Linked DNA regions of Mus musculus. The main gene of each other region encodes a partner of the protein of the gene in region 3 in a complex. Links are inferred from orthologs where the notes say so. Each region holds a gene or a part of one and is shown on either strand. Other genes may lie near its edges. The genes, in order: Ripk3, Aim2 and Mefv.

Region 1 (3,750 bases), on a different chromosome or scaffold from region 3:
GTGTGTGTGTGTGTGTGTGTGTGTGTGTGCCGCTTAGTAGGCAAAATTCTTGTCATGCAAGCATGAGGACCTGAACTCATATTCCCACAACTAAAGTGACATTGGGGACAGTAGCCCATGTATACCATGCCAGTGTTCCTACAGCAAGATGAGAGACAGGAGAATACTGGGACATTAACAGGCTAACACATAGCATTATGCACACAGCAGAGAACAAACTGACCCTATCTCAAACAAGGTCGAACACCTACACACACACACACACACACACACACACACACACACCATGACATGCACCCCTTCACCACATGCATGGTCATGCACACACATAAATAAATTTTAAGATAAATAAGAAAGCCAAGCATGGTGGCGTACACCTTTAATCCCAGCATTTAGTCAGGAGGCAGATGCAGATGGCTCTCTGTGAGTTTGAGTCAACCTGGTCTGTATACTCGAGTCCCAGATCAACCAGGGCTCCAAAAAGAGACCCTGTCTCAAAAGTAAGTAAGTAAGTAAGTAAGTAAGTAAGTAAGTAAATAAATAAATAAATAAATAAATAAAATAAGGGCTACCTTGGTGGAGCAGAACTCGGTTCTAAACTAGTCCCATACTTACTTGGCCAAGCGATTTAAACTTTAAGTACTTGGGTTTCCTCCTCTATAGAAAAGAAAACACGGTTGATCTAAGAAGCCAGTATGTGTACCTGGCCCAAGACAACCCTTACTAGAAGCGTTACTCCGTGATCTTAGGACCATAAAATCCTCCTGATCTCCATCCTCCCTTCATCAAAATGTGGTTGGCAAGCGGTGGAGCTAAGGGGTCCAAGAGAGACTGGCTATCGTGGGGAGTCAATCGTTCCTGGATGGTGAGGACACCTTTTGTGGCACGCCCAGTGCCTGGGCGCTTCTCGGGTGGAAGCAGTTTCAAGGCACGTGCACAGGAAATAGCCCCAAAGTTTTCAATGCTCCACCCCAGGGGGCGGAGATAGAAGGAGCCTCTTATTTGAAAGGGAAGTTGTGAAGTCGCTCATTCAAAGTCCGGGGGAGCGACCTGGGAAGCGGAATTCGGGGCCTGAACCTCCGTGCCTTGACCTACTGATTGTTCCCTTTGCAGACCCTGCCTTCCTCTCAGTCCACACTCCGAGCCGTAGACGTCGGGTTTCCAGCTCCGTCTGTGCACACATAACTCCAGGAAGCCGCTAGCTCCCGACGATGTCTTCTGTCAAGTTATGGTGAGTGGGGAGTGAGCTGTGTCTCCGGCACACCCACACAGGTGGCCCGGGGACACACTCAAAGGACGCCTTTTCTGAGGCAGGGGACAAAGCTGGGGGTGAGGCGGGCAGCAGTGGGGAGGCTAGACTCGCTGCCTACGCTGCCCACGCGCAGTCACGGAATCCCGGAGCTTGGGAGACAGAGGATGCGCTAGGCTGGGGGATGGGCCCCCTACCGGACAAGAACCTTTCTCAGGCCTACTGGTGCGTCAGCGGTTCCTCTGGTGAGCCGTGAAGAACTGAAGAAGCTGGAGTTTGTGGGTAAAGGAGGGTTCGGAGTCGTGTTCCGGGCACACCACAGAACATGGAACCATGATGTAGCAGTCAAGATCGTGAACTCGTGAGTGACCCCAGCTGTAGTCAGAGTGTGGTCACGAGCCTGAGTGGGGCAAGGGTGGGGTCTTCCAGAGCGCAATCCAATTTTGGCCCCCTTTCGGCGTGTAGGAAGAAGATATCCTGGGAGGTGAAGGCTATGGTTAATCTTCGTAATGAGAACGTTCTGCTCCTGCTGGGGGTCACTGAGGACCTCCAGTGGGACTTCGTGTCCGGGCAGGCTCTGGTGACAAGATTCATGGAGAATGGCTCCCTCGCAGGGCTGCTGCAACCCGAGTGCCCTCGGCCCTGGCCACTCCTCTGTCGCCTGCTGCAGGAAGTGGTGCTGGGGATGTGCTACCTACACAGCTTGAACCCTCCGCTCCTGCACCGGGACCTCAAGCCCTCTAACATTCTGCTGGATCCAGAGCTCCACGCCAAGGTTAGTCCATCTACAACCTAGTGTAGACTTGGGACCATGTTGAGTACCTGTCCCTCTGAATACAAGACTACACACATGACAAGACCCAACTAGGAGTTTTATTTCTAGTCATACCAGGTGACCCTCCTTACCAGACGCCCTTCTTAACCCCCTGGCTCAGTTCCACAGGCCTAATGCACCCTCACGGACCCAGGCTGACTTATCTCAGGCCTGCCCATCAGCAACTCAGATCTCCTGCTAAGTTCTCAATGACTTTACCTTCCCTCTGGTCCTCCATAACACCTTCCAAAAAGCTGAGGCTGCTGCATCTTCTGGGGAGCAAGAGAGGGAAAAATCTCTGACCCCCCCCTTCATCTAATACCTTCCCTTTCCTTTCCTTTACAGCTAGCAGATTTTGGCCTGTCCACGTTTCAGGGAGGGTCCCAGTCAGGGTCAGGATCAGGATCAGGATCCAGGGACTCTGGGGGCACCCTAGCGTACTTGGACCCAGAGCTGTTATTTGATGTCAACCTGAAGGCTTCTAAAGCGAGTGATGTCTACAGGTAAACCATCCACCCCAAACACACTCCAAATCTCTATACCAATTTGGGCCCTTCTAAAGGGAATGATACAGGAAAGAAGTCTCGCCAGAGGCCATCTAAGCCTCCATTTGTGTCTGTACAGCTTTGGGATCCTCGTGTGGGCAGTGCTGGCTGGCAGAGAAGCTGAGTGTAAGACTCCAAATGGAGTACCCGAAAGCACCTAAACCCCCCTGGAGCCCTCCCTTTTACCCTGACCCACTAACACACTGCCCTCTTCCCACCTCACCTCTCACTTGGATGACTCTCCCTGCTCCTGTCCGCGATAGAATGGGCTGTCCCCTCATTTCATGAATTCCTTATGTTATCCCCCAACTCCAGTGGTAGACAAGACTTCACTAATCCGGGAAACAGTGTGTGACAGGCAGAGTCGTCCTCCACTGACAGAGCTGCCTCCAGGTAGCCCTGAGACTCCCGGCTTGGAAAAACTGAAGGAGTTAATGATTCATTGCTGGGGTTCCCAGTCCGAAAACAGGCCATCCTTCCAGGGTGAGTTGGCCGTATCTCTGGCAACTAGGGTAGGCTTGGGTCTTCAGCAGGGAGCTCCTCCAAGGAAAGAAATCCGACTCATATACAACTCGCTGTTGTCTTTCAGACTGCGAACCAAAAACCAATGAAGTTTACAATCTGGTAAAGGACAAGGTAGATGCTGCTGTCTCCGAGGTGAGTTTCTAGCACTGCCTTCCCATCCAGGAACTGTTGGGAGATGGCACAAGTGGCTCCCTTAACCATTCAGTTTATCTTCACTGGCCACCATTATTTAATCCTTGGTTGTCATTCCCATTCACCAGAACCTACTCCTTAGTCTCCAGAGACCAAGAAAATTTTCACTGGGGTTTACTTTGGCTGCCCCAGCTCCTGACAACAAGGTCCCCCTGTCTGCACAGGTAAAGCATTATCTGTCTCAGCACAGAAGCAGCGGCAGAAACTTGTCTGCCAGAGAGCCAAGCCAAAGAGGCACAGAAATGGATTGCCCGAGGGAAACCATGGTTTCTAAAATGCTGGACCGCCTGCATTTGGAGGAACCCTCCGGACCAGTTCCTGGAAAATGTCCTGAGAGGCAAGCACAGGACACATCAGTTGGGCCTGCCACACCAGCAAGGACATCTTCTGACCCCGTGGCTGGCACTCCTCAGATTCCACATACT
Region 2 (3,650 bases), on a different chromosome or scaffold from region 3:
CCCTATAACACCCCCCACACACACTCCCCAACCCACCCACATCCACTCCTGCTGCCTGGCCCTGGCATTCCCCTGTACTGGGGCATATGATCTTTGCAAGACCAAGGGCCTCTCCTCCCATTGATGACCGGCCAGGCCATCTTCTGCTACATATGCAACTGGAGACACAGTTCTGGGGGGTACTGGTTAGTTCATGTTGTTGTTCCTCCTATAGCGTTGCAGACCACTTGCTGCTTGGGTACTTTCTCTAGCTCCTTTATTAGGGGCCCTGTGTTCCATCCAATAGATGACTGTGAGCATCTGCTTCTGTACTTGTCAGTCACTGGCAGAGCCTCACAAGAGAGAGCTATATCAGGATCCTGTCAGCAAAATCTTGCTGGCATATGCAATAGTGTCTGGGTTTGGTGGTTGTATATAGGATGGATCCCCAGGTTGGGCAGTCTTAATAACTTAATTAATAATAAGTTTACATATATTTTTCAGATGTTTTTTGAGTATTTGTCCTTTTCTAAGTAATACAATATGATGATGAGGTTGTAAAATGCTATCCTCAGGTAGTTCAGTCTAGTTCAAGGAGCAGCATCAGGATTCTTCAGGAAAAGGTTTTTCAAATGAGGTGACTTCACTCCACACTTTTCATGTCAGTTTTTGGCTTTGCAGCCTTAATAACCTGGGTAGGAAAGGAAGATGAAGACTGAAATATTGTTGATTAATTAATTCTCCTCTACTTTCACTTACTGTGTTCTCCTGAAAATTCCTTTCTTCTCATCAAATCTCCTCACCTAACACATATTTCCTCTTAATTCTGTCACTCTTGGACAACTCTCCTGAACTATATCTGCCCTGAACACACACACACTCCTACACAAGAAGGACAAATATGAAGACTTCTCAGGTCCCCATCTAATAACTCTATATATACAGTTGAGTGGTGAGGAAGAGAGGAAAGCAGAATCAGTGGGATCATCAGCACGGGGATGTGATAGCTGACTTAACTGCTTTGGACTATGACAGATGTGAAGATGATTGCCCTGGCTCAGATGTTTGTTGTCAGGGTGTTATAGTCTGACTTGACTTTTAACTGCATTTGCCAGAATGATGTGTGCAACTTTGAGAAAGCTGCCTTCATTAGATTTAGACTGTATTCAATAAATTCATTGTGGAAAGTTCTTTGAGAGGAGGAGGAGGAGGAGAAGGAAGAAGAAGAAGAAGAAGAAGAAGAAGAAGAAGAAGAAGAAGAAGAAGAAGAAGAAGAAGAAGAAGAAGAAGAAGAAGAAGAAGAAGAAGAAGAAGAAGAAGAAGAAAAGAAGGAGAGTGAGATTTTGTGTGTGCATGTGTGTATGTGTTTGTGTGTGTGTGTGTGTATGTGTGTGTGTGTATGTGTATGTGTGTGTACATGCACACGCATATGTGTGTTTTCCTTGGGAAATCCACAGCTTTGAATTGTGTATCTGGGTTATGTATTTTTGAATGACAGGCTTCTCAGGTCTGTGAGATGCAAAGGCATACATATTAAGCTCTTCTCTGCCATCCTGTTCATTGGATTTCCAATAGAAAACACAAAACAACATCCTCTTCTGAGAATTTCCATACCTTAAAAAAGCTACAAGGTCCAGATTTCAACTGAATTTTCACTCCATTTTTTGACACCTCAAAGAACGTGAGTCTAATCTTGTCTCCTTCCTCGCACTTTGTTTTGCTTGGGTTTCCCAGCACCAACACCTCCATTGTCCCTGTTTTATCATGTATACCATACAGTACTCTATCTTTTTCCTCTGTTATCTGTGAAAGGAAAATATGAGTCAAGTCCTGCTAGATGACTAAGAAAGAGCAGCATATCAATCAGTTATCAGACAAGCTAGGAGCAGCTTTCCAAAATAATATAATAAATAATTCCAAACTTCTACCCAACAGATTCTAGCAAATCTCAGTGGAAGGGGTAGGAGGATTATATTAAAAGCATGTTGCCTCTTGTGTCCATCTTCCTAGTCCCAAGGTTTTTTTCTTTTGGGAGGCCAGAATAACTCACAGAAACAACGGGTAGACAGGGAAGGTGGGGCTTCTCCAGGGCCAGCATGCAGGGGGCAGTCATGGGAAAGGAGCACCTCCTGGTTAGGAGGAGAGTCACTTAAGGAAACAAGTAACAGAAACCCATGAACCAAAAATAAAAGACCTAGTGAAGAAATTTAAAAGTAAAAAGTCAACCATGAATGAAATATCATTCACAGTCAAGTCCAGATTAGAAGGAGACCAGATTCTAGTCAGGGATGTAAAATATCAATATTTCAATGTTAGTTTTATTCACTAAATGAGAAAACATTAGTGGGTAATTGATCAAACGGAAGGCTCAGAACTGAGAGGGGATGAGTGTTTTTTATGCTTTAATTTTCCAAGGAAGACATTTCCCTCCTGCCTCCTTTCTGAAAAGACGAGAGAGGCCATCCTGGCTACAAGTTCAGAAATCAACACGTTTCCTGTGGTTCTTCAGGGTCGCTCTTAGGCCAGAAAACTGTTCGTACAAGACTAATATATATTTTTTTTTAACCTGATTTCTGGTTTGAATGAAAATGGTCCCCACAGGATCACAGGGAGTGGCAGTATGCAAAAGGATTAAGATATGTGGCCTCTTGTTGAAGTAGGAGTGGCTTTGTTGGAGGAAATGTCATTGGGGGTGGGCCTTGATGTTTTAGAAGCTCAAGTCAGGCTCTCTCTCTCTCTCTCTCTCCCTCTCCTCTGTCTCTCTCTCTCTCTCTCTGTCTTCAAACCATACCTGTACATCAGTCCTCTGCAGAGTGCTCAACCCAACAGTGACTTTGAATATGGCTAGTATCTAAGTGCATAAAAGCAACACAGAGGTGAAGATGCCTGTGTCTATGCTTCAGAAGCTACAAGGCGGAAAAAAAAAAAGAAATTTCAAAATCAGAGTTTCAAAATCAAACCTTCCTTCGCTGTGTGTGGTGACATGCACTTGGATCCCAGCACTCAAGAGGTAGGGGCAGCGAATATCAGTGCATGCCACATAAGACAAAGCCACACAGTAAGACCCTGTCTCAAACAGCAAAACAATCAAAAATACAAAATAAAACTTGGTGAGCTTTGTCTTGGTAAATTATCATCCTACAAATCCTGAACTCTGTAAAATTCTTTTTTAATTGTTAAAATGATTTAAAATCAATTTTTAAATTTATTTTAATTGTTTCAGATTTAATAGAGTAAAAAACATTGAAATGTATTTTCTAAAGTCCCATTAAGGCTTAGAATAGGTGTTATATTTTATATTATTCTTACTGATCAATATAAAATTGCGTATAGGAACTTACCTTCTGGACTTTAAACAGCCCATTCACAATTGTTCCACATGGCTGAATCTTCAGTTTACTAATCCTGGGAGTTTCCCTGGCTCTCTTAACAACGTTATTTGGGACTTCGTGGTTAGATTCAACATCAACCACAACTGAGGAACTGGTGACCTCCATGAAGTTACTGTGCCAAAGGTAGTTTGATATTTTAATTGTCCTCTTTGGGATAAATTTATCTTTAAACTGTGCGTTTAAAACTTTTACAAAGAAAAAATCTGTCTCCGTGGCCACTGTTGCATGAAATATCTCTTGTCTTCCTTCCTGAGTCTCACACTCAAAGGGATTTATAGC
Region 3 (3,750 bases):
GTGTGTGCCTCCAGCACCACCTGGATTCAGTCACATTTATTGTACATGCCAAAGTCACCTGCTTAGGATGGTATCACCCCCAGTGGGCTTGGCACTCCTCTATTGGATATCAATCAGGAAAAAGCCCCACATACATGCCTACAGGCCATTCTGATGGAGGCATTTTTTCAATTGAGGTTCCCTCTTCCCAAGCATGTCAGATTGACAATCAATGTCAGCCTTCACAGATATCTAGGGTATTTAGAATGATAGATAATAATGCTTTTTATTTATTCTCCAATGGTTAAGACAAAAGTAAAGGAGGCCACAGAAAATTTAACCCAGAAGCAGTTAGTGGACCTAGGAAGCCAGGGCCAAGTTGGCTGTGGGAATAGATGCATGAGAATGCTGGCAACAAAGGTGGTCCGCAGGTCCCGTGTGAACACTTTACGTTGCTGGATAGACTAGACATGGACCAGACAGACTGGACATGCATTGCAGTACCTTTCTGGCTTCTGCTTTCTTGAGAAGGCCCAGGCAAAGCCTATAGGGATTATTTGCTGTTTGTTCCTTCCCCTGCCATTGGCCCTGGAGGTCTATAAACCTCAAGAGTCCAAAGAGAGCAGTTGGCCAGAGGGGACCAACTCCACGTAAGATCATCTCCCTCTTCCACAGCCTAGGGTCCTGAGAGCAAGCAAGAGCTCAGGAGCAGCTGGAAGGTCTGGCTGTCAATCCCAGAGCTACCCTTAGAGTCTGGCCTGCCTGTTGTTTAATCAGGACATAGGCTGGCAAGGTGGAGACCTCCCCACTGGAAAAGACTCTGAATCCTCAAAGAAAGTATGCAGCAGGCTAGACCCTGGACACGCCCTCATTTTTACTCTCAGTTCCCACCAAAGCTGATGTGCTTCCTGCGCCTTGTCCGTTATTTCACAAGCTATTTCTTGCTTGTTCTCAAGTTGCACGAGAGAGGTCATTATCGTTTGCCAGAAGCCACATAGCTGGCTGCAGTCCCTCCTGGCCCGCACCATGGCCAAGACCCTTGGTGATCATCTGCTAAACACCCTGGAGGAGCTGCTGCCCTATGACTTTGAGAAGTTCAAGTTTAAGCTACAGAACACCAGCCTGGAGAAGGGCCACTCTAAGATCCCCCGGGGCCATATGCAGATGGCCAGGCCAGTAAAGCTGGCCAGCCTTCTGATAACCTACTACGGGGAGGAGTATGCTGTAAGGCTGACCCTGCAGATCCTGCGGGCCACCAACCAGCGCCAACTAGCAGAGGAGCTTCGCAAAGCCACAGGCACAGGTAAGTTGCCAAGCCTCTTCCCAGTGGGGATGGATGCTAGCTACTGGTGGTGGATGAGAGGAATGCTCAGACACTAGCTAAGGGTTAGAAAGCCCCTGTCCACTTCAGTCCGAGTAGTGTGAATCTAGCATGCCTCATCCTTCTCTCTGGCCCTTGTAACCTGTTTAGTGAAGCTCCCAGGCTCCCCCCCCACCCCCCAAGACATTAATAATAAAAACTGATATTTCAGCTGTGGGTGAGACTCAGGACAGGTGGATCATGAATGGAGCAAAACCTAGAGAAGTCTTTACTCCATGTTTTCAAGTAATAAGCAAGCCCAGACTATCATCAGGTTAGCAGAAAAGGCTTGAAATTCAACCATACTCACATGTCTGAGAATCTCATTAACCACCCAATTTCAATTGGAGTTCTTCCTTGGGATACTTTACAAGGGTATTTAAACATTCTTTGCTTTTAATGAAAGGTTTCTTCAAATGAAAACCTAAGTTGTTAATCATGGGTTATCTTCATTATGTAGACTTTGAAATTAAACCTTATCTGTCAATATCCTGAAATTGCAGGCAAGTTTGCTTGCTGTTTTTGTTTTTGTTATTTTTTTGGCTTTGATTTCTAGACAGGGCCTCACTATATAGACTACACTTGCTTCAAACTCTAGAGATGCTCCTGCCTCTGTGTCTGAGGTTAGAAACTACACCACCATACCTGTTCCAACGAGTTTCCTTTCTTTTTAAAAATTAATTAATTCATTTAAAGATTTATTTATTTATTTTATGTATATGAGTACAGCATTGCTCTCTTCAGACACACCAGAAGACGGCATCAGATCTCATTACAGATGGTTGTGGGTCACCAACCATGTGGTTGCTGAGAATTGAACTCAGCACCTCTGGAAGAGCAGTCAGTGCTCCATCTCTCCAGTTCCCTCAACTTGTTTTCAAACACCATCTACGTTTACATTTATGACTTGAGGTTTTCTTCAGTTTGTGCCATGATTGAAAATGATTCATTTCTATATGTTCCTTTTTAAATTAAATTTATGTGTGTGGGTGTTTTGTCTGGATATGTGTGTGTACCACTTGCAATCTTGATGTCCACAAAAGCCAGAAGAGGGAATCAGATTCCCTGGATTTGGAGTTACAGATGGTTGTGAGCTACTGTGTGGATTCTGGGAACTGAATCTGGGGGCTGTAGAAGAGCACCCCAATGCTTTGAACTGCTGAGCCACCTCTCTGTCTCTCCAGGCTCCTATTTTAATTTTACTTTGCTTATGTATTTTGTGTCTGTCTGCATATGTAAGTGAGTGTTAGTGTGCTCTGGCATAAAGGTCAGAGGACAACTTGAAGGAATTGATTCGTTCCTCTGTGGTTCTGGAGGCTGAGCTTGTTGGCAAGTGCCTTTACTTACTGAGCTGGTTGCTTTCATCCCTTCCTATTTGCTTTGCTTTATAAGTCAAATGTCACAGGTACAGTCATGCATGCATCTATAACAGTAACCCAGTTTTTATTTACTATGTATTTTATGGTTCTGTGTAATGGACATCTGTTGTCTAGAATGTTCAGTTCTTTGCTTTTATTAACTTCTAAGGAGTTTCTCCCTTCCTCCAACCCCAGCCTTGAATATAGCACAGCTTCATGACTGTATCTTATTGTCTTTCTAGAACATTTAATTGAAGAAAATAGAGTTGGTGGTTCTGTCCAGTCTTCTGTAGAGAATAAAGCCAAGAGTGTGAAGGTACCAGATGTCCCTGAAGGTGATGGGACACAGCAAAACAATGATGAATCAGACACCCTTCCATCCAGCCAGGCTGAAGTGGGGAAGGGACCCCAGAAGAAGTCACTGACCAAAAGGAAGGATCAGAGGGGCCCCGAGAGCCTGGACTCACAGACCAAGCCATGGACAAGGAGCACAGCGCCTCTCTATAGGAGAACCCAGGGCACCCAGTCCCCAGGGGATAAGGAGAGCACAGCAAGTGCCCAGCTCCGCAGGAATGTCAGCTCTGCAGGGAGGCTTCAAGGACTTTACAACAATGCCCCAGGGAGGAGAGAAAGCAAGAAAGCCGAAGTGTATGTATATTTGCCTTCAGGAAAGAAGCGACCCAGGAGTCTTGAAATTACCACTTATTCAAGAGAAGGAGAACCCCCAAATTCAGAAGTTCTTCCAACTCAAGAGGAAACAAGAAATGGGAGTCTCATTCGCATGAGAACAGCTACTCTGAATGGAAGGACTACGGGGGCTTTAGAAAAGGGCACAGGGATTCCAGAGCATTCCATGGTGCTGGATGAAAAAACATTCAGAAACATGTCTTCCAAAACATCGTTGATTGGGGAGGAGAGATGCCCTACATCATGGACGGAAAATGGAAATGGGAGTCCAGAAACCACAGAGTCCTCGGGAGAGACGGCTGGCAGCATACTCTCTGATCCAGAAGTGCCTTTGTCACTATGTGAAAAACCAGCTAAAACTCCAGA

The links.
Region 1: Mefv (region 3) and Ripk3 share a complex: the UniProt entries of both Homo sapiens proteins name them as parts of the AIM2 PANoptosome complex. The link is inferred for Mus musculus from reciprocal best matches to the Homo sapiens genes MEFV and RIPK3.
Region 2: Mefv (region 3) and Aim2 share a complex: the UniProt entries of both Homo sapiens proteins name them as parts of the AIM2 PANoptosome complex. The link is inferred for Mus musculus from reciprocal best matches to the Homo sapiens genes MEFV and AIM2.

Annotation. Positions count from the first base shown.
Region 1 is NC_000080.6:55,786,098-55,789,847, reverse strand, and holds the start of Ripk3 (receptor-interacting serine/threonine-protein kinase 3), read left to right. Parts: upstream 1-990; 5' UTR 991-1,211; coding exon 1,212-1,231; intron 1,232-1,385; exon of another isoform or gene 1,386-1,466; coding exon 1,467-1,610; intron 1,611-1,714; coding exon 1,715-2,024; intron 2,025-2,408; coding exon 2,409-2,566; intron 2,567-2,687; coding exon 2,688-2,734; intron 2,735-2,831; exon of another isoform or gene 2,832-2,923; coding exon 2,924-3,091; exon of another isoform or gene 3,092-3,197; coding exon 3,198-3,265; intron 3,266-3,489; coding exon 3,490-3,750. UniProt on the Homo sapiens protein: Serine/threonine-protein kinase that activates necroptosis and apoptosis, two parallel forms of cell death. Necroptosis, a programmed cell death process in response to death-inducing TNF-alpha family members, is triggered by RIPK3 following activation by ZBP1.
Region 2 is NC_000067.6:173,461,991-173,465,640, reverse strand, and holds part of Aim2 (interferon-inducible protein AIM2), read right to left. Parts: coding exon 3,321-3,650; intron 2,886-3,320; coding exon of another isoform or gene 2,778-2,885; exon of another isoform or gene 1,789-2,777; intron 1,783-1,788; coding exon 1,594-1,782; intron 671-1,593; coding exon 623-670; 3' UTR 1-622. UniProt on the Homo sapiens protein: Sensor component of the AIM2 inflammasome, which mediates inflammasome activation in response to the presence of double-stranded DNA (dsDNA) in the cytosol, leading to subsequent pyroptosis.
Region 3 is NC_000082.6:3,715,318-3,719,067, reverse strand, and holds the start of Mefv (pyrin), read left to right. Parts: upstream 1-943; 5' UTR 944-1,005; coding exon 1,006-1,282; intron 1,283-2,939; coding exon 2,940-3,750. UniProt on the Homo sapiens protein: Involved in the regulation of innate immunity and the inflammatory response in response to IFNG/IFN-gamma.